Linked DNA regions of Astyanax mexicanus. The protein of the gene in region 1 interacts with the protein of each later gene in a biochemical or structural test. Links are inferred from orthologs where the notes say so. Each region holds a gene or a part of one and is shown on either strand. Other genes may lie near its edges.

Region 1 (8,075 bases):
AACAGCATTATAAAGTGTTTGTTTTTATTCATTAGTTGTATTGTAAGTGTGAGAATTTTTGATATGCTGTAGCATCCAGTCAGACCATATCCCTGACAGTTTGTTTGGTTTGCATATCATTATTTTTTTCCGGGTGGGATGAATAAATTCCATTCAATTTACATACAGAAACAGGCCTCCGCTGTCTGCACTCTCTGTGCCTCAGCCTGACTCTACCACTGATTCACAAACACGCACTACCGTACAATACAGTTCTAATAAAATAAAGGTGATTATCCAGTTAATCTGAGCTCTCCAATACCATCACCTCAGCACCAGATCATCATCAGATCAGCTTCTTCATCATTCCAGAGGCCACAGTATGTGACATAGTTAAGCATCAATAGAATTGATACTATCAGCAAACAAGACTCTGCATGTACATCCAGTTTATTTTCTTTTGTTTTTAGAATTTGGGACAGATGTGCAAAAAGGTGTGCAAAATGTTCAATCTCCCACTACAAAATAAAACCAAATAACCTTCACATAATCCATTATCATCTTACATTAAAATAAACAGTTATAGTAGCACATAAGGGAGTCTAATGAATAAATACTGGGAATTCTTGATATTTTAATGCACCTAAGTCTATGTTTTAACTATTTTTTTATTTTAATTTTAGTTAATAGCTACTAGGTTATTTTTTTAGCTAGCCAGCTATGCAGAACCAAATCTGAACCGAAGGCTAGCTTAATATAATTTACATTTCTAAGAAGGTTATATTTCTAGACATACTGTAGGCTATGGGTTAAATTCATATAGAAGTATAGAAGTTGGCCTTAAAGGGTTTAAGGAGTTAGTTCACATGAACACATGGAAAAAAGACAGATGACATGTGATGAACGTGTGAACTTTTAGATGTGCATTAATGTGGATAAAAAAAAGATAAAAGAAATGATAGAAATGAAAGAAAATATAGGATTAGCCCCCTTTAAATATGAATACAGAATATGCAAACACCTATTGCCTTTTTTTTACATTTCTTTAAGAAAAAAACAGTCCATAACATAACTATATCAAGTGTGTGTGTGTGTGTGTGTGTGTTGTGGTATTATATTGAACAAGGCCCAAAATTTCAGACATACAAAATATCAATATTTATTTTCAACCCCTTAGGCCCTATGTTGTAGCTCATAGTTTTGTAGTTTAGTTTTTACCTCTCATAACTAGCTATACCACAGTCATACTTAGGGTAAGTTTAATAGCCCCTACAATAGAACCCTGTGGGATTCAATAAAACATGCAAAACCATTTCTTCTTCTTAACTGAATGATAATCCTAGAATACAGAATCTTCAAAGACTAAATGCACATTTTCAAATATTTCTTTGGCTAAATCAAGTCTATAACATATGCTCTATGTGTGTTTTTAGTGTTGAGTTAAATGAGGTCCAAAGCTTCATTAGGAAAACACCAGAGAAGACTGCAAATGTTCTGGAAATGTTGTCCCAGATTCCAGAAATTCGAAATTCTTCTGTATATTTTGGGGAATACAGATTTAAATATACAGATAGAGCACATATGACAATTCACAGTCTATTTGTAGCTTAATTTAACATTTCAGCTCCTCCTCAATGGGCATTCGCTCTGTTCGCTCCTCTGGTCATCTCTTCCAGGTGTGCACGATGCCTCTCCATGGGTCCACATGGCCCAAAATGGCGCAATGGCCATGATGGCAAGGTGGCAGCCTCTGCAGCCTCATGTCAATTCTCTCTCTCTCTCTGTGTGACACCTACACAGTCTCTTTTTCCTCATTTCTCCTTCTCTGCCCCCCTCCATCTGTTTCACTCTTTCAGTGTTGACCACACAGCTCATCTCCTTGGGCCTCTGCTGGAACCCCATTGTGCAACGCAGGCAGCTTTTTGGTTTTCCGGAGTCTCTGAAAAAAACATGTAGAAGGGAAGGAGAGATGCTGCAGTGATGGCATGGGCCCCTGATGGCTCGTTTTTTCAAGGTGCCAAGAAAAGTCACATCTCTCTCTGGTTTCTGTTGCTGGCTTCCTCCGTTCGGGGTGAACCGGGTTTATCTGGGTGGCCAAACAAGCGGGAAATGGAGCAGAATGACACATGGAGATTAGCAACCACAGGCCAGGACCAGCCAACACATGGGCACAACCGTTAGAGCTCGCTCGCCCCGCCATCTACGCCTGTCATATAGACACACACACACACACACACACACACACATACACACACACTCGCTCACTCACTCGCTCAGTCATTCACTCACTCTATCCAAGAGACTCTTTCAGATCACACATACATGTATACTCAACCACATACACACATACAGAGAAGAAGCTGTAGCAGAGTGGACTGGCTTTGTGGCCTTTGCGCCTTGACCTTTTGACCTTGCAGCACATATTGGCCTGTAGTCGAAATAATCTTTCAAAAAAAATGAAGAAAAGAATATGTTTGATCAGATTCACACTGTGGACAAGCTGAAATTAAACAAACTTAAATTCAACTTAAAAGTCAAATTGAAAAGTTGAACACTTTTTAAAGCTTATTAAGTTCACAGTTCAGTCTGCCAGCCCAAATCAGATTTTTGGCATATCTACTGTATATTGTATCCAGAATGGTTTGTGATAGTTTGAACAGCCGGAATCCACATGAAATATGATTTTTTTATTTGTGAATTGGATTCAAACCACATTTGGAGATTGCTTCAAATGTGATACAAATATATGTACAGATCTGTCACAGTCTGGACACTCTGGATGCTGAATCCAGAATGAGGGAAGTGTGGGGGCACAAGAAGAGCTCTAAAGATTAGTTACTGATACCTGTTATTAATGCTTAACTCATTTAAGTAAATTAGTTTATTTAATTTACAGTTCAGGCTGTGTTTACACTGCAAGCTCAAATCTGGATTGCATATCTAGATTGTATCCAGATTAGTTTATAAAAGTCTGGACAGCCAGAAAAAACCCATACAGGAAAGGTTGTATCAGAGCACAGTTAGAAGACCTGAATAAGAAAACCCTAATTTCTGAGATGGGTGTCTGGATTAAGCAGTTCCAAAAGGTACAGTACAGTGGTATAAGCTTAGGCCAGGCTTATATATTCAACACTTTACTAATGATAAGGCCACAGTGCAGTGAACACACTGATAAACACTGCTTTACAGTGTTTCTGGTTAGTGTGATAGAGGTCAGGGCAGGAGGTCAGGGCACCACAGAAAAGAAAAAAAACTATTTGCAAGAGAGCATGTACTTTCTACTAAGATCTTAGCATGATTTATTGTAATATATTTATTTAACACACAACATAGTCTACAGAGAGTATATTATATTATGGCTACACTTCCTTAAGGCTGTAAGTAACAGATGCACGTGTGTGTGTGTGTGTGTGTGTACGGAGAGTGCCGGGAGGAGGGGGTGCAGTGGGCTGCAGTCTTCCCAATCCCATCGTGCACTTCTCACCCACTTTCTGCTACTTGTCTGCTAGACCTCAGTTTATAACGGTAAATGCTGTTCTGAATCATGTAATTGCTATGCTATTGTTGACTGATATGCCTTGCTGTTGTTGTGGCTGTTTACATTGTTAAGTGAAAATTGTCACTTACCTACCATGAGACTGGTTCTGAGCCATTTTAGGCACCTTCTGGTAAATTTCACTGTTCACTGGTATTTGGGTTCTTCCACAGAACGCTTCTCAGTGCTGTATAAGTGAGTCTTCTGCTCTGGTCCTGGAGGGCTGGTGTAAAGGATGTAAATGTCAGGGCTCTCTGGACTCTACCGATAAGTTGTGGAGCTACTTTGAGCTTGGATAATGGTGTAAAAAGCGATTTATCTGCAGGGGCAAAATATGCCCCGTTAAAACCTATTCTAACCTGTTTGGCCAAATTGCATTGAAATACTGGTTCTCAGAAAGCTGTGGTTGAACGGAGGTGGGCTATTCAACTAAAGTTATTACTTTTTATCATGTTCATGTTTTACTACACCCAAAGTCCATTTTACACCGGAGTTCTCCATTAATGTTTCACCACTTTATTTACTCTATTACTTTTAAAAGACCAACATATTCAACACAATTTTTTAAATTTACAACACTGAAACATAACATTGCAATTTTGTTTTAGTTTTTTTTTTTTTTTTGCAGGGGGTGGTTGCTAATATGAGCGGATCCATTTTCATATTATATGTTGATTACACTTATTAAGGCAAGAAGAAGAAGTTTCATACTGAAAAAAATACTTCTAACTATTTTTCCTAGAGCTTCAGACGGGTCAATTTGACCCATACAATAATAGGAGGGTTAAATCATGGCAAAGACTTGGAATAGATTGGAACCTAAATTCAGTGATTAGGATAGGTGAGTTTAGTGATTAGAAAGGGTGAGTAAATAATATAATAATATAATGTATATTATACAGCTCTGGAAAAAAGAGACCGCCTAAAATTCAGTGGCATAAAGTTATCCAAAAGCAGTGTGTAAGACTGGTGGAGGAGAACATGATGCCAAGATGCATGAAAACTGTGATTAAAAACCAGGGTTATTTTACCAAATATGGATTTCTGAACTCTTAAAACTTTATGAATATGAACTTGTTTTCTTTGCATTATTTGAGATCTGAAAGCTTTGCATCTTTTTTGTTATTTCAGCCATTTCTCATTATTGTCTACAAATAAATGCTCTAAAAATAATTATTAAATGCGAGAAATGTTGTCCGTAGTGTAAATAATAAAACAACAATGTTTATTTTACTCAAACATATACCTATAAATAGCGAAATCAGATAAACTGATTCAGAAACTGAAGTGGTCTCTTCATTTTTTCCAGAGCTGTATATCACATTATTGTTGGAGTAACAGCGACCCCGCGTGCTTTGCTGAAGCACGTGCAGGTAGACGTCATCCGCTCGCGCCCTCCAGAGCTGTTGTTGCTGTGAGTGAAAGTAGCAGTGCCGCGGGTAGTTGCGGTGGCTCCGGCGGGCGGCGGAGCGGTTTTAGCTAATTTATCTGAATAATTTAATAAGCAGTAACTCAGCTCCGGTACTGTAGCACGTTTATATGCCGCTCCTGTCGGTAGACGCTGTTTTTATCCGCTTATTTACCTCAGTTTTGTGTGGAAATGGGGGCGGAACCTTAGCTCGGTTAGCATTAGCCGCGGTAACGGTCGGACTGCCGGAGCGCCAAGCAGCGTTTAAACACAGCTGATGAAGCAGAGAGACAGACAGCTGAGAGAAAGAAAGACAGCTGAGAGAGGGACAGGAGGGACTATCTGAACCGAAGGACGAGTTAAAAACATAGTAAGTGATACTTTTGTGGTGTTATTCATGTTTAACGACACAGTACTCACATTAAAAGTTGCTATATACAATACCAGTCAAAATAAGGACACACCTCTTTTCAGTCAGTGTGCTTTTTCTTTCTGTTTATGATTTTTTTATATTGTACATTCATTATTTAATTTGTAATACTATATTAAAGTTATACAGAAACACATGCTGAATTATTCTGTAAAGAAGAAGTTAAACAAAGCAGAATATGTTTTAGAATTACTTTAGATATGACAAAGAAGAATACACTACTGCAACAAAATGAACATTAAATTGTATTATTGTATATGATATGGCACACCCCTAACTGACTGAGATATAAAAAAATATAAGAATTTTATCAGATTTGTAACCGAAGTCAGTGATGTCATGGTTCTAATAATGCACTCCAAATATCTCCATATATCCAGGATTAAAGTAAAATAAATTATACTGGCAGATATAATCTGTCTATAGTAGATATATAACAAGAAATGATAACATTAACATTTTTCTTTTGCTAAAAACAGCAAAAAAGTAGTACCCTGATGTGATAATATAGGGGTGGGTGATATGGCACCATATTTCAGGGTATAAAATCATCCACAATATTAAAAAATGCTGGCGATGTTATTGCATACAATACGATATGTCACACTCCTGCTTTAGATTCTACTAAGTAGGTTAGCACATTCACATTCACAGCCATCTTTGAGGACAGATCTGCACGCTCTTCGTATTTTAATCTCAGTGTCTTCATGAAGGAAAGTCACCTGGAATAGTTTTCTCAGCTTCTTGAAGGAGTTCCTGGAGATGCTAAACAATAGTTGCTTCTTTTCCACCCAAATAAGACTTAAGGGCTTTGACTTGTTTGTTTGATTATTTATGAGTTTTTGTTCTTTCCTTATAGTATGCCTTTTTAACACTGACGCTTGAAATTAAACAGTTTTTTTGTGTTACAGTTTTTTCTTTTTTTATATTTAAAAAGCAGGATTTGCTGAGGGATTTGCCGTGGGAGTTATCGTCATAATGGAATCTGCATCAGATCCCACTCCACCAAGAGCACATAAAGGCTCTTCTCGTTCTCCAAAAAAACCTCAGCAAAACTCTGCCAAAGTAAGAAATATTCACCTTTTTAAAAGCTAAAGCCAAATGTCTGTTTAAAACAAATTGTCAGTGTTGTGCTGTGGGTTTACTTGTCAATCCGAAGCTCAGCACAGGAGCAAGGCTTCATGCGTCGTCCACCAAGTTTCCCAGAGCTCCTTTCCACTGAGTCTTCTGAGTTTGAAATGACCAAAGATCCAGTCGTCATTAAGACATCAATATGAGGCCAGAAATTGTGTTTACTGATGGTTTTAAGTAGCCGATTTCAGTATTGGGGAACAATGTGCCACATCTTACATGCAGTTCCAAAACAAGCAATAGTTTTAGTCAAGCAAACGTTAGAGACAAGATCATTCTTTTCTCTCACTCAGCATTACTAGAGACTGCTGGAGTTGTTAAGCAAGATTAGTTGCATTCTTTGTAAATTTATATCTTTGGCGGTAACAGCCTTCTTAAAGTTTTTTTCTGACTGACGTTGCATGGAAGTGTTTTAGATTCACAGTCGAGTGTAACAATATATACATTACGTACACTGTTATCAAAAATTGATAATAATAGAATTTACTAAACCGTCAGCTTAATACTTATTAAAACACATATTTTTTTTAATAGTGGTATGTTGTGTGATGCTTATACAATTATAACATTAGTACAAACATTAATACAAAGACAGTTTGGTTTATTTCCCCAGTTTTATCAAATTAATAATTCATTGATTGAAAAAATAATCAACAGTTGAAATGATTATCAAGATAATTGTTAGTTTCAGCTGTACTGAAGTGAATTGAGTACTTCTTAATAAGTGGTACTTTAGGAACAAGATTGAGAACAACTCACTTAGTAAAGCCTAAAAGCAAACACGTTTCAGTGCCTGGATTTCTATTGTTTCAGTTAATTGTAGTGATCCATTAGATTAGCTATATAAGAGACCTTCCCTGATACAGTGCTGAGCTTTGTATAGAATAGAACAGGTTAACTTGCAAAATGTGGACCTGAGTTAGATAATAGGAGATTGGTGAAGTTTATGTGGAGCTTGTGTGATGGTTTGTAATTAACCTGAAGCTTCTTTATCTCAGAGAGAAAACAGCAAACCCAACCACAAGCAGAGTCTCCAGGACGCCAGGAGAAAGGGCAGAATGGACCGAGGGAAAGCAGAAGAGGAGATGATCAATAAGCTCAAAAACATTGTGCGTATGTTAGAGTGCATTTTGGTGCAGAATTTTAATTATATGACCTATTTAGTTTATTTTTTCTCATTTTGTTGTTTTATTTTTTCCACTGAAAATATAGCATTTAGATTTTTGCACTGCTTGAGATTTTTTGTTCTATTCATAATCATATAACGGCATGCAAACTGTTCATATGATAAGTAAATGTCATGTGAGTTTAGTACAGTAAATAAGTTCTGAACAGTATGTGAATGGGTTTGTGTTTATTTGCTTGCAGGATTTGCGTTGTAAGCCTAAAGCAACTGGAACAGGCCTGGTTTACTCTGAAGCTTTTACTCACCATCGCTGCCTCTGGGACACCAGGTGACTGCAGTATTGTATATGCTTATTCATTCTTAATAAAAATAAGTGAGTAAGTGTGTAAGTGTGAGGGTTTTTTTTTTTAGACTTTTGTTGTTTAAAGAGGTTTGTTACAGAGGTTTGTAAGCTTTGTTATTGCTT
Region 2 (7,904 bases), on another chromosome or scaffold:
AGATCAGAAAGACTCTTTTTTAGTTATCAGTAAAGCTTGATTGCAGTTCTTGCCGCCAAGAGTAAAGAACCAAGTTATTAGATTTAGGGGTAATATACATTTAAATTCATTACATATATCAGACAAAACAGTGTGGCAGAAATCACTTCTTCATTCAGGCAAATGTCAAGGGACACAACAGTAATTTCTATTTTCATATTCTAATTCATACTGGCTTTAAAAAGCAGCATGTTTTTCAGTGTCACAGTCTAATCGAGTCAGAGTGAAAATGAAACTGGATCTGAATCAGGATTCTTTATCAGGACACAGATCTAGTTTCGTTCTTATATGCTCTGATTAGATGTGTCTGGTTCAGTCAGTTTGCCCCAGATTCCCCCGGTCTCGGTTTTGCAGCTCAGTGGCCTGAAAAGTGGCTGTTCCCTGCCGTCAGTAATTAACCTCGGCACAGTGATTCCTCATTTACATATCCGACTGCAGACCATGCGTCCGCCAGAACGCAGCCATATGGACTGTTACAACATCCAGTCATCACCATAACGTGAGCGTTTACTGAAACATAATAAAACGCACCTATTTAATCTCAGAAAAGATTAAATCAGAGGTGTCCAAACTACGGCCCGCGGGCCATTTGCAGCCCGTTTCCTTTTTTGGAGCGGCCCGCAAGGTACTTTAGAAATAGAATGAAAGTTGGCCCGCTGTTAAGCAGGTTTTTATAATGTGAGATTCAAAGTTTGAACGCTAGGTGTCAGAAAGAGTCAAAGAGTCTAAAAGCGGAGAGAGTGCTCATTTCTAGCTCAGAAAAACGGGGCAAAGAGTCTAAAAGCGAAGAGGGTGCGCATCTCTAGTGCAGAAAAACGGGCCAAAGAGTCTAAAAGCGGAGAGGGTGCGCATTTCTAGTGCAGAAAAACGGGTCAAAGAGTCTAAAGGCGGAGAGGGTGCGCATTTCTAGCTCAGAAAAATGGGCCAAAGAGTCTAAAGGCGGAGAGGGTGCGCATTTCTAGCTCAGAAAAACGGGGCAAAGAGTCTAAAAGTGAAGAGGGTGCGCATCTCTAGTACAGAAAAACGGGCCAAAGAGTCTAAAAGCGGAGAGAGTGCGCATTTCTAGTGCAGAAAAACGGGTCAAAGAGTCTAAAAGCGAAGAGGGTGCGCATTTCTAGCGCAGAAAAACGGGCCAAAGAGTCTAAAAGCGGAGAGAGTGCGCAGTTCTAGCGCAGAAAAACGCTCCAAAGAGTCTAAAACTTGCCGTAATTAAGGAGTTTAATATTAAGAGACATCATGAAATGAAACACCAATTTGAAAAATCTTAGTTTACACAACACTGTCAAAGATTGATAAAGATAGTAAGTTAAGTAAAATGGTGTGTAAATGAAAGTAATCAGGAAAAAAGTATTATTTAAAGTGGTATATTTCATTATTTGTTTTATTACAGTCTGTGGCCCGTGACTTCAAATATATTTCTCCTTCTGGCCCCCAACAAAAAATGCTTGGACACCCCTGGATTAAATCATCCAAAGAGATTACATTGAAAAAATACTTGAGATTAAAAGATGCAATTAAAAGCTTTATACTGGTGGAATGGGCACTAATTTGTTAGCAAGTCGACCAAGCTAAGCTTTCCATTCAGAACCTGGGTTTGATGATAAACACGATTGGTTGGCTGATGTTTGGTCTTGATTGCAGGCAATTTACTATTGAAACAGCTGTCCTTCTTTCAGTCCGATGTTCGAGTGTGTTGTAGAAGCATATTTCTGGGGCCTTTAAGATTAAAAGCTGGAATCTTTGTGAAAGATGGAATTCCATAAGTTTTACATTGGTGGAATAATTAGTTACCTGTGTAGATAACTAGGCTAAACTTACCATCTAGAAGGGATTAAACCATCCAGAGAGAGCACACTGTAATACACGCACCCCTAAAATGCTTAGGATTAAAAGATGCAATTAAAAGTTTTCTACTGGTGGAATGGGCGCTAATTTGTTACCTGGGTAGATAAACTAGGCTAATCTTACCATCTAGAAGGTATTAAAAGGTTTGGTTACAGTGCATTTCCGGCTGATAACGGCACTCATATTACACCTCTCAGCCAATCACAATGCAGGGTCGGAACTAACTGTGGTATAATTGGGATTTAAAGATGCAATTAAAAGTTGTATACTGGTGGAATGGGCACTAATTTGTTAGCAAGCTAATCAAGCTAAGCTTTCCATTCAGAACCTGGATTTGTGGATAAAGACGACGGCTGGCTGATGATCGAGTGTGTCGTAAAGGAATGTGTAGCTGTCAACGATCTCTCACCAGGAGGTGCACTACCCAAAATTAGAATTAAAAAGCTTTTTTACAGGAGAGTGAAGGAAGCATTTTCATGCAATCTTGTGAAAAATACATACATTTTACCATGTATAAATTACCACATGCTAAACATTCACCATCAAATCAATGTCTTATTGATCTGATTATTGATCTGATGATCAGATTCCTGCATCCCGGCACTAAAAGCATCAGTGTCATGATAAAAATGATAACACACACTCCAGCCTCCTCCTCCTCCTCTTCCTCAGCCTCATCCCTTTCTTTGCTGAGCGTGAAGCCCATCTCCTCGCTCGCGCTGCACTGTTACATAAACGTGCCCGCGGAAAGCGAGTCCACGTGATCTCTGTGTTGTTGTTGTTCGCTCGCGCACTGTTTGGAAACCCAGCTCGAGCTCAGCTGCACAGCCAGCTCGAGCCAAACGCTACAGCACCAACGCACGCAAGCGCAAGCATGCATGCACGGACGGAACACGCACGAATGCATGCATGCACGCACGCACACACAAATACACACACGCACTCACGCACGCGCGCGTGCACACATAAAAGCAAGACAACGCAAGTAAAAATCGGGTCACGCGCTCACCTGTCCGCCGCGCACGCTGCTCCGCTCCGCCGTTACTGAAACATCCCCCGGACCGCTCGCGGGAACCGAGCCGCTGCCGATCGGAGGGAGGCTGGCGGACACGGAGACGCCTGATTGGCTAAGAGGGCGGAGGCGGGGTTCTGTGATTGGTTAGAGCAGGCGGGTTATGGAGCTCTGTGGTTGGGTGAGGCGTTGGGGAAGTGAGGCGCTGATTGGCTGAAACGCTGCATCAGGAGGGCGCTGATTGGTCAGATTGATGTAAACAGACGGAGCTGCTCGCTGATTGGCTGAGAGGCTGTCAGTCTAATCTGACTGAGGCTCGGGCTGTGACTGTTGTGTTGTTTTGTTTTGTTTTGTTTTCACAAAGTGAGGAAATATATGGGCATGTATTTATTTAAATATGAGACACAATCGAAATGTATTTTTTACATTTAATGTGTATTTTAAACAGTAGCGGTTTATTAAGGAAAATTATTTAATTTTTAACTATATATATATATATATATATATATATATATATATATATATATATATATATATATATATATATATATATATATATATACACGACCCTTTGGCATATATTTAATTTTAATATCAGATTTGTATATTACTGGGTTTATATGTATGATTTATTTTTTAAATAATACATTTTAATTACATGATTATCACTTGGTTTCATTATTATTCAGTATTTTATTATAGTTTACAAAATATATATTTTTTATTAATTACTGCTATTTGTCTGTCAGTCTTGCTCTATCTGTCTGACTGTTTATATATCTGCCTGTTCATTTATCTGTCTGTATGTCTATCCATCTGGGTGACTGTCTGTCTTTCAGTCTTTCTAACTAAATGTCTGTCTGTTTTTAGTATGTCTTTCTGTGTTTTTTGTGTTGTTTTTGTCCGTTAATTTATCTGTTTGTCTATTTATCTGACTATATCTGTTTGTTTTTGTCTGTCTGTCTGTTTGTCTATATGTCTGTCTTTCCAACTATGTGTGTTAAAGTCTGTCTGCCTTTTTGTATATCTGTCTCTCTGTCTATATGTCTGCCTGATCATATCTCTGTCTATCAATCTATCTGTTTGTTTTGTCTGTCTGTCTGTCTTTCTGACTATCTATATCTCTGTTTATAAGTCTGTCTGTCCTGTCTATCCTTTTGTTTTTGTCTGTCTATGTATTTGTCTTCCTGTTGATGTCTCTATTTGTCTGTCTATGTATTTGTCTTCCTGTTGATGTCTCTGTTTGTCTATCTATCTATCTATCTATCTATCTATCTATCTATCTATCTATCTATCTATCTATCTATCTATCTATCTATCTATCTATCTATCTATCTATCTATCTATATATCTGTCTGTCTATAATAAGGCATAACTGTGCAGTTATGTAAGGCTGGGTAAAATACCACGACATGACAAAAGTCATGGGACAGCAAAATATAACTTGATCTGTCTGCCTGTAACTTGATCTGTCTGCCTGTTCATCTATCTATCTATCTATCTATCTATCTATCTATCTATCTATCTATCTATCTATCTATCCATCCATCCATCCATCCATCCATCCATCCATCCATCCATCCATCCATCCATCCATCCATCTGTGCAGTTATGAGACTGGCTAAACTACCATGACATGACAAAAGTCATGGGAGAGCAAAAATATAACTTGATCATCATAAAGCTTACCTCAGGGCACAGCTTGGAAACACTCACACTTGTATAAGTAGTGAGGTGTTATCATGTGAGGCTGTGGCGAGGGAGGCTGAACTCCTTATATAAGACTAATATTACCATGCACAGTGGACAAACACATTTAAAAAGGTTTGTCTAGAATAGTCTGTGTGAATAGACACTAGTGTTCTTTTCCATACCTGGGATGTGCCAAAAGTCATGGGACACAGTATATATTATGCCCTATTAGTGTATATAAGGCTTTATTTCATGGGCTGTTCTTCTGTAGAGAGGAGGGGTGTTTAGTGTGGGCTGGTGGTGCAGTTAGCTCTGCCTGCAGCGGAAACAAAAGCTGAAATAAAGAAAATAAGGAAGAATATATTTAGAATAAAGTATTTTTAAAGCTTCCGTCCTGGTTTTATTTACTGTGTTCGTCGCCTGTGTTCAGGCTGTGCTGAGTTCCTGAGGTTATATAACTCAGCACACAGGACGGGCGAGACCGGGGTGGGGGGGGGGTAGACCCTTAATAACACAGGCATTATAACAGAAATAAACAGAGGGGCAGGAGAGCGAGGCTCGGGCTCTGCGCTGCTGCTTCAGCTGGAGGATGTGTGTGGTTTTGTAACAGGCTCTATTGAGGAACTGTACAGTATAACTCACAGTGTAACTCAGCAGCGCCATCGTGTGGTTACTTAATACATTACAGGGTTAAATTTGTCAGAATACATCACTTTATTGATGAATGTAAAGAACAGTAATTATCAGACTCGCTCTAGTGTTCAGGAGCAGCTGCACTGTAAACTCATACGCTGTTTAAACTCAAATGATTTAAGTCGGTTTTATATAAAATTGGATATTTCTAAACAATACTCAACTACTTTGAGTTAGCTGAACATTTGTGAGCACATATACTGTACTATTCAAACTGAGATCTTTGAGTTGAACCAACTTATAATAACTAAGTTTAGTCTGTTTTGTCATTAACAGCTTCTTTTTCATTGGCTTCTGTCACAATCTATTTGCATACTGGGTGTGTCCAACAGTTTCTGACAGACACTCACCATCAGTGTGTAGTGATCAGTGATGTCAGTAACGCGTTACTTATTTAAGTCACTGTGCGTCTCTCTCTCCACCTCATCTCCTCCACACACACACACACACACACACACCGCTCCCTTACCCATTCCCCCTCCGCTCTTCCCCAATCACACGCGTCTCGCTTTCTCCCCTCTCTCTCTCGCGCTCGGCGTGTCTTTAGTTTCCGCCCGTTTTCGTTTTTCGCCAGTTCTCGGCGCCCTATCTCTTTATTAAAGCGTTTTTTTTTTTGCGGCCGCGTCCCAATTCACTAGCCAGGGCAGCGGTCTGCCACAAATTTGATTGGCAGAGGAGAGCATTTAAAGATTTTACACCACACGTGATTGGAAGTTCACTGTGGCGCAGAGCGCACATACCGTAAAGACAAGAAAAGTTCCGGTGCTTTAAATGAACACTGTCAGAATTAAATCCTTCTCAGTAGTTGGGTCCGGTATGGGTCCGGACCCGGACCGCAGTCTGCATATATGTGATCCCTGGTCTAGACCATATACACGGTTCTGTTTTATAAAACCACTCCTTGCTGCCCTGCAGAGAACAACAGGTTCAATATTCAGTTTTACAGTGTTAAATATGTCAGGTCAAGAAAGACTTTCTTTATTTTATATATTTTTTTATAAAAACAAGTATTTATGTTTAGTAAAATCAAGAAAGACCATATTTTATTTTTTATAAAAAAAATATTTATGTTAATTTTTTTTATTTTTATAAAAAAAAAGTATTTTTTTAGGAAATAGTTCAACTTAATAGAGATAAATTGATGCTGTTAAAAATGTATTTTCCAATAAAGGGAGTATTGGCAAAACTGGTTATTAAGGTGGCGGGAGGTGGTGTCTGCAGCTGCTGAAAGTAACTAATAAAGTAACTTGTAAAGTAACTTAGTTACTTTTAAAATCAAGTTATCCATAAAGTAACTAAGTTACTTTTTAAAGGAGTAATCAGTAATCAGTAATCGGATTACTTTTTCAAAGTAACTATACCTTCACTGGTAGTGATTCCCCCTGGGCTACCTTACAAATAAATCAACTTCCCCTTTAGTTGTAATAACTTGAATTTTTAATTTATGCTAACTCAAGTTTTCATTCTCCATTACTTAACTTTTTTAAGTTACAATGTGCCAGATTCCTAAAGTTTTTAGTGAACAGGGGAAATCTGCTTTTAGCTACAGAACAGCAGCAGCAGTGAGCTGGAATTATTCACTACAGGAAACTCTAAAACTCACTAAAGCTCACTGCTGTCACTACATCATTTTAAACATTTAATATCTAACCACCTTCAGACAGCCTGTTTTGCTTAATCTTATTTATTATTAACTTTTATTTTTTATTTCTTTTAGTTCTTTATTTTCTTTTTATTTCTTTCCTTATTTTATTATTATTATTATTATTATTATTATTATTATTATTGTAATAGTTTTGTATTATTGCTTTTTAACTTATTTTGATTTTCTTTCTTTCTTTCATTTATTTTTTTAGTTTATTTATTTGTATTTTTGTTGTATTATGTAAAAGTTAGTTTTAGCTAATTTTAACTCATTTTTGTTGTATTAATCTTGAATTAATATTCTTTTGATCTTATTTTTTTATCAATATCAATTAAACCAAGATTTATTATAATAATTACTATTTATTTTATTCTAATTCTATTTTTATTTTTTATCATTTTTATATTTTATTTACTGTTATTTTAAAATAAGTAAATTTAACTATTGTCTTGTCAATCCCTGTTTCTGTAAATTTGCTTGGCTACATTGTAAATGAGGGTTGCCCCTTAATGTACCTCCGAGTCAAAATATAGGTTGATTGATTGATTGACATCACTTTTCTGCATGTTTGGACTTGCATACCATTTATTTGCCTTAATTTCATTATTTTAACCATTATTTAACGATAACACTTTGGAAATAAATGTATTAAAATCACTGTCGTGCTCAAATCTTTACTAGTGTGCTGGAAAGGCTAATATTTTGAGATAGAAAGGATCTACTCGTGATCTCAAACATACCAGCTCATCTTTGAAACAAGGTGGAGGTAGTGTCATGGATTGGGCTTGCATGACTTCTTCTGGGATGGGTTCATTAGTCTTCATTGATGTTTAATGAACTATCTATCTGTCTGTCTATCTGTCTGTCTGTCTACCTGTCTGTCTATCTACCTCTCTGCATTTTTACCTACCTACCTACCTACCTACCTACCTGTCTATCTATCTATCTATCTATCTATCTATCTATCTATCTATCTAT
Region 3 (7,545 bases), on another chromosome or scaffold:
TATTATCAAATCCACTATACATAACGTTTTTTATTTTAAAAAGTTGCGTGTCTTTTCTGTTTACTACAAAGGTGACACCATGTTAAAACATACAAAAAAAAAATAAAAATAAATAATAATAATAATAATAATAATAATAACAACTTGTTAAAGCATGGGAATGAGATTCTCATGTGTGGCCATTACTTAAAGCGTGGGGACGAGATCATAATACGTGGCCACGACTTAAAAACACATGGGAATGAGATCTGAATGCATTGCCACGACTTAATAAAGCATGGGAACGAGATTCTAATGCATGGCCATGACTTATTAAAGCGTGAGAACAGATCATAATGTGTGGCCATACCTTATTTAGGCATGGGAATAAGATCCTTACTTGTGGCCACGACTCAACCAAGTGTGGGAACAAGATTTTAATGTGTGGCCATGACTTAGTGTGGGAACAAGACAAATTGAGTCCTGACCATAACAATCGTCCCCACGACTTAATTATCTGGTTCTCAAGTTTTAATTAAGCTTTGGTCACTAATAAGTACATATTTTATTCCACGTTGTCACCATAGGGGGTCTGTAGGTTTGTGATTAAAAGTGTGGATTTGTAATTTGATCATTTCATGGACCAATAGAAATGCTTAAAATTACTGGACATAAAATCTTTTTCACTGACTTCCGTTGAAAGCTAAGATTGATTTTCTTTTCTAATCCCACTGCAGCAGACTTGTAGAAAAGCACAAAACATTGTGATGAGAAGAACAGCCACCTTTTGACAACATTGTAGCAACGTTGTAAGAACGTAGCCAACGTTGTGACAATGCTGTGTGTTCGCTGGGCCACCTAACGTGAACTAACTGACTGCCAATTCAGTGTTAATTACAAAGCACAACAACTATTAATGCATTTAACTACATTTAGCAACATTCAGAGCGTTTAAAAATCCTGAAAAAAGCAGCATTTCTGCCACCTCACTCCCCCGACTAAACACACAATTAGCATTATGGTAAAACCACGCCTTTCCTACAGGCAGCACATAATGAAATGTCAAGCCGCTAAACGCTAGCTAATGGATTAGCATGCAGGTTTAGCTCACAACTAGCCAGCTAAGTTAGCTAACCAGCCAAACACTGGCTCTTTTAGAGATTGGGCGACGAAAAAAAAACAAAAATTATCAGAGCGGACATGGACATGTCTTTAGTAACATTTATATTGTGGTTTGGTTAAAAATATAAGGCCAATGCCTGTATAAACTTTAGGTTAGCTAGGTAAGCTAACAGGATGAGCATCAAAATGACAGCTTGCTTGATTCGCTTCCTTGCAAATCCTTTGCATCTTTTTTTCCTATTAGCTATCGTTAGCTAGCATGTTTTACTATATTTTAACGTTTAAATATAATGCTAATCCTTTATTTGACATTCTTAACATAAATAACTAGCTAACCCAGCTGATAGTTACACTGTTTGTATACTAAACATCTAGTTAGCTACTTAACTCCTTTTTACCCATATCTATTTTTTTTTTCTTTAGCTAGCTCGGTTATGCGTATCTATTATGTTTGTTATTTATGTTAGCTAGCTAACTAGCTACCTGTTATGTCTTAACACCAACGTCTTGACTAGCTAGTTAGCTTATACTGTTAGTTATGCAAACACTTTTTTGCTTTGCTTTTTTTTTTTACTGTATTCTATTATCTCACTTTTTGATTTACTACTATTGTCTTTATTATTCTCATTAACATTATTATGGGCGGGTTTATTATTATTATGCGTCTGTGTTTGTAACTGGCTAGTTAACTGTATTGTAATGCACAACATCTTCGCCTGTTTTTTACATAGTTAACGTTAAGCGTCATCTTGTTTAGTTAGCTAGGTTAGTTGCTGGATAATGTTAGGATAATGTTTAGTTAACGCTTGGAGAACGTCCTATATAAACAGATATAGCTAGCTATATAGCGTATGGTTAACGTTACAGTTAGCTACAATTGTCGTTTAATATAACGTTAACTATCTAGTTTAAACAGCCACCAAGGACCAACACCTACTTTTTTTATCCAACTGCTAGTGTTGGTAAATCCAGGTCCAGAAAGTTCGCGTTAGCCAGAATCCAGCCCAGGATTTTATTCCAACTGCATTGGCAGCGCTGCTGTAGCTCGACTTCAGAGGCTCTGCTAAAGCCGTTGGAAACAAATCTTGGCCTGGATTTCTTTTTCAAATCATGAACCTGGATTTACCAGCATAGCCGACTATGCGATGCTAAGCTAGCGCGTAAGACAGCTAGGATAAGTCGCTAGCTATATACTTGTAGAGGTGGGTAACCAAGGTCCAGAAAGTAAAAATCCAACCCAGGGTTTGTACCAGCTGCAGCATAGCCGCCCAGGCAGTTGGTACAAAACCCTGGGTTGGCCCTTTACTTTCTGGACCTGGGTTATCCACCCCTACAAGTATCCTGCTAGGTTAGCTACGCTGCTAAGCTAACGCTAGCGAACTGAGCCCACCCTACTGTTGCAGCAGCAGCTTCTCTCATGGTGTTTATATCGTTAAAATGTGTAACAAAAACACAGAAATGTCAGCAAACACTTCCTCCCCTTACCAAACCATCCCGTACGCCCCCTCCCCGATGTACTGCAGATCGGTGTAGCGAGGGCCCACGTCAAAATTTTGCCCTTTCACGGACTCAAGGCCGGGCTTGGATCCCGCAGCTCCAGTCGCTCCCCCGGGCGGCACCGCTCCTCCTGCCCCGGCGGCGCTCCCATTCGAGCCTGCGGCTCCGGCTGCCGCTGCGCTGCTGCCTGAGTCCGCCATCACTCCGTCCACAAATCCGCACCCTCAGATCAATACAAACGAGTTCAGGCGATAAAAGGCGTCCCCGCGCGTGTTCTGCTGCTGTTTGTTGAGATCGCGGCCGCGGTGGTTTTCCGTGGACGAGTGCGCTCGCCTGACAGTCGAAGAGGAGTCGATAAATCGAGGCCCTCCTCCTCCTCTTCGATAAAGACTGTGTGAGTGTGTGGACGCGGATCCCTCCCGTGCAGCGACGCTGGGCGTGTGCAGATCTGCGCCGCCCACGATTAGCGGGGTTATTACCAGTATATTATATTACTATTAAACCTTATTAGCAGCTATATGTGGCTTAAAAGTATTGACATAAGTATTGAATCTGCATTTTGTATATTTGAATTAAATTTACCTGACTTTTGAATAAACTTGAAATATTTAATGAGGAGATTCAAACATTTTAATTCTAACAACTTTTTGTGTTTTGAAATTGGAGGTAGTGAAAATGGCTGTTAAAACCCATAAAATAAAATAAAAAAATCCAAATTAAATTAAAATCTATTTTATTCGAAACTCAAGAATACAATATTAGAACAAAGATGTAATCCAGTAGATTGATTTGAATTGATCTATCTGAAATTTATGCATCTGATTTTTCCAAATCTGAAAATCATATTTTGAAATGTATTTTTTCTTAACGTCAAATTTCTTCACCTCAAAAAAATAAAAAAGCACGTTCAAAACAAAAATTTATGAATTGTTCCATTAAAATTTTTAAGTTTGTTAAAAAGTCAATTTAAAGTAAATTTAATTAAAAACACAAAATTACAAAACATATTCGTTCACCCATCCAAACCACTGAGTCACTGACTGACTCACTGACTGACTGACTGGTTTTAATCACTTCCATGGCCACAGGTATAGGAAAACAAATGTGTCAAAAGTATCCACATTCATTACTCAGGTAGAAGTATAGATACTAGGGTTTAAAATACTTCTGTAGAAGTTAAAGTATCAACTCAAGTAAAAATGTAAATGTTCTGGTTTCAAAACTACTTGAATTATAAAATATAAAGTATAAGTAAGGGGAAAAATGCCATTAAGGACAAAAGTTTAGGCGGCACCACAGGAGCCTATAGTGCTATTTCTCTAAAAGCCATAATGACTATAATGTTATATTAAAATGTTAATTTTGAAAAAAAAATTGGACGCTAGGACACCTGTTTGGCAGAGGAAAAGGACCAAGTGATGCTTGCCGTGCTGCTACAATTACCCAACACTGCATGTGCTACTTTAAAATTAATTGATTTAAGCAATAAAAAAAAATATATATATTTGTTTTAAAGTTATAAAGTTACAGTCCACTCCAAAAATATTGGAACAGTGAGGCCAATCTATTTATTTCTGCATCTGAATCTGAAGACAAAAGACAGCAAATTTTTGTTTGTTTTGTGTTTTGTCAGACAAAAGGTTCTATCTTCTGTCTTTTAATAATAAACACAAATGTTTTCAGTTTACAGCAGATAGCAATAGTAGGACTGGCCTAACTGTCCTAATACTTGTGGAGGAGACAGTATAGTGGGGTGTGTAGTCTCTCTGTAAGTTATAAATGTGGATATCCACATCACCATTGGCAGAGGTGGTGAAATATCAGATATCGCCATCAGCTCAGAATTCCCACATCGGTGCTTCTCTTATGAATATGTTGTGTATACAATATACTGTGACAGGCCTGTGTCACAGCTGTGTATGCACAAAAAGAATATATGTGATTTTATGGCTAAACAACAGCAGATTTGTGTTGTGTGTACACCGTGTTGTAGTGTTCATGGTGAGCCCCAGCCAGTGAGACATACACGGAATGATGGGTAAACATTACTGACAAATTCCTAGTGATAAACTCATACAGTACTTTCTTCAGTATGCAGTGCAAAGTTCCCTTTAAACTGAACACTTTACTCCATATACTTTCACATCTCACCTAAAATGTCCAAATTCACTGTATAGTCCTCTTCACTGAGAAGCGGTGGGATGATAGGAATGTATCTTGTGTCTGTGCGAATCATGTAAGCAAACATTCAGGTTTATACGTGCTCCCATCATAGTGAACCACTCTAATTCGATAAGATCATGAGATCAAAGAGATAAGCCCATGAGCAAACTGATGACATTAATCTTAAGATCTGTTTTAATAAACATACACACTCTACGCCCTACATATTATGAAATTAAATGTGTTAGTCATTGTAATGTGAGTTGATGTGTGCTTGTGTTGTCACTGATATGTAAATGTGATATGAATGAATATGAAGTTGATTACGTGACATAAATCAACAGTGATAAAAAGTTAACGAGTTAGCATGCCCTTTTACATGTAAAAAAAAATCCCTGCACTGTCAATTATATAGCCAGTGTTTTAACATAGACAGACAGATAAAGGTTTAAATAAAGTTATTCTTGAACTACAGTGACTTGACTAAAACATATCTAGATTGTGGGCTAAAATGCCCATCCATTTATATTCAGCAATAGCATATATTAATAATGTAGCAGTAGAGGGCAAGCCACTCCACTGTGAGGAAAGCATTACTGTAAGCTAGAAACAGTAAGAAATGTGATAACAGAAATTAACATTTGTGTTGTGGCAGTAATTTGATAAGCACAAACTACTAATGAGGTAATAGTTTTCCATTAGACAGCCCTCTAATGATTGAATCCAATGATTAATAACCCAATTTTCATGTTGTTATGTTTTTCCCTCATGCTGGTCAAGCTGGTAAAGCTGATTGAATAATCTAGTCTTCAAGCATGGTCCATCTGGCCCCGATAAATAACAATTATGACTAAGCTTGAACTTACTGGTTGACCAGCATTAACACATACATTGACCAGTATTACAAGCACTATCAATCTGGTAGACAGCCAGCCAGACAGACAGACAGACAGACAGACAGACAGACAGACAGACAGACAGACAGACAGATACACAGATGGATGTTAGTGTCAGAAACACATCCAGAATTCAAACAGGTTGTACCAGAAGCCAATGGAAAAGAAGCTGCCAGTGGCAACAGACAAAACTCTCTGATCTCTGACAAAGATCTCTGTTTAAATGTGTACAGTTTCGGAAAAAATAAGAGACCACTTAAAAGTGATGAGTTTCTTTGATTTTACTAAACTGTAAACCTCTGGAATACAATCAAGAGGAAGATGGATGATCAGAAGCCATCAAACCAAGCTAAACATGAAATTTTTAACTGTGAGAAACTGATTCAGAAACTGGTCTCCTATTTTTTGTATACTGTATGTGGGCACGAATGTTCACCTAGTATAAAATAGTTGAGTAATGTTTGGAAATATGAAATTTTAGATAAAACAGGCTTAATTTTGTTTTACTTCAAACTAATTGTGGGTTTACAGTGTTTTAAACAGCATGATAAGCATGACCACACTGGTAAACCAATATGACAGCAAAACCTTAAATTATTATCAATTTAATGTGCTTGTCTTATACATATCATTAATCATTATTAAAGATTTTATTTTTTAATAATACGACTTGTAACAAAATGTATTTGTGTGAAAATAGAAAAACAAAATATTAAAAAAAATGACCTGTAAACAAACTGTGAGTTATCATACTTCTGTTTCTAAAGACCTTTTTCAGCATCTTAATATGATATTGATTCAGTCATGAATAAATGTTGAAATGCTGGCTGGTTAGTTAGTTCACATCAGCATATTGTTAACTACACTGACCATCAAAGACCAGCTCAGGCCATCTATACATTAATATCTGGTCTTAAGCTTGATGTTTCAGCAGGGCTGTTACCTTGATCACAGTGACACACATCTTATTCTTTTTTAGTCCTACAGAAACTCTACAACAGCTGCTCACACCTCTGTCATATGATGATATAATGAGTGTTACGATGCTGTAGAGATTGAGTTATAACCTAGCTAAATTTGTCTCTCTTCTGTTAAGTTGGTTAGATATGATCTTCTTATCACACCAGAATATAACTAGCGGGCAGTTTGCAAATTGGTGCCTGAGTCAAATGATTAAAAGTTTAGTCTTGAAGTGTTTAAATGAGGTCACATGCTTTACACGAATATTATTATCAAATTAAAGATGATAAGAAAAGTCTTGGAAATATATTGCTGGCTAGCTGGTGTGGTTAGATGGATTGGTTATGATTAATGTTGTGCAAAACAGAAAAGGAAAATGGACTTGTTCCCTAGACCCTCAGCCAGACCAAACATCAGACACTGTGTAGAGATGTATTAACCAGTATGAATTTCATTGACAAGAGATTCAGGGGTTCAGGGTTGAGCATATATCAAAATAACAAACAAAAACAACTACAAACATTCATGATAGCAAGGAACATTAGAAATTATATACATTTTAAGGTTAATGATAGAAAAAACAACTTTAAAACAACCACAATTTGACATCAGTTGAAAAAAAGGTTGAAATTCTGACATTAAATCAACATACATTTATCCTAAAGGCTTTGAATGTTTGGGTTAAGCTCTTCTACACCTACATTGATCATTTTAGGTCAAATGTGCTTCCAACAAATAATAATTAATATTATTCATCCTTATTATTTAAATCTCACTTTCTACAGTATAAGACCAACACAGTACAGACTATAAGAATAGACACAAATATTCCATGTAAGTAGGTTAGATTAATACTGCAAAAACAGTACATGTAAAACCATACTTTTGAATCAATGTAAAATTAATGTGCTCAAATAATTCTGTCATT

Evidence for each region. The genes of interacting proteins can lie anywhere in the genome.
Region 2: the proteins of hdac6 (region 1) and tubulin polymerization-promoting protein form a complex in vitro, tested with the Homo sapiens proteins (2 studies listed by BioGRID). The link is inferred for Astyanax mexicanus from reciprocal best matches to the Homo sapiens genes HDAC6 and TPPP.
Region 3: the proteins of hdac6 (region 1) and mapk3 form a complex in vitro, tested with the Homo sapiens proteins (2 studies listed by BioGRID, with this or other methods). The link is inferred for Astyanax mexicanus from reciprocal best matches to the Homo sapiens genes HDAC6 and MAPK3.

Annotation. Positions count from the first base shown.
Region 1 is NC_064419.1:4,052,277-4,060,351, reverse strand, and holds the start of hdac6 (histone deacetylase 6), read left to right. Parts: upstream 1-4,913; 5' UTR 4,914-5,292; intron 5,293-6,289; exon of another isoform or gene 6,290-6,292; 5' UTR 6,293-6,330; coding exon 6,331-6,417; intron 6,418-7,481; coding exon 7,482-7,592; intron 7,593-7,851; coding exon 7,852-7,937; intron 7,938-8,075.
Region 2 is NC_064408.1:122,732,273-122,740,176, forward strand, and holds the start of tubulin polymerization-promoting protein, read right to left. Parts: upstream 3,006-7,904; 5' UTR 2,894-3,005; intron 1-2,893.
Region 3 is NC_064426.1:25,608,723-25,616,267, reverse strand, and holds the start of mapk3 (mitogen-activated protein kinase 3), read right to left. Parts: upstream 3,006-7,545; 5' UTR 2,799-3,005; coding exon 2,587-2,798; intron 1-2,586.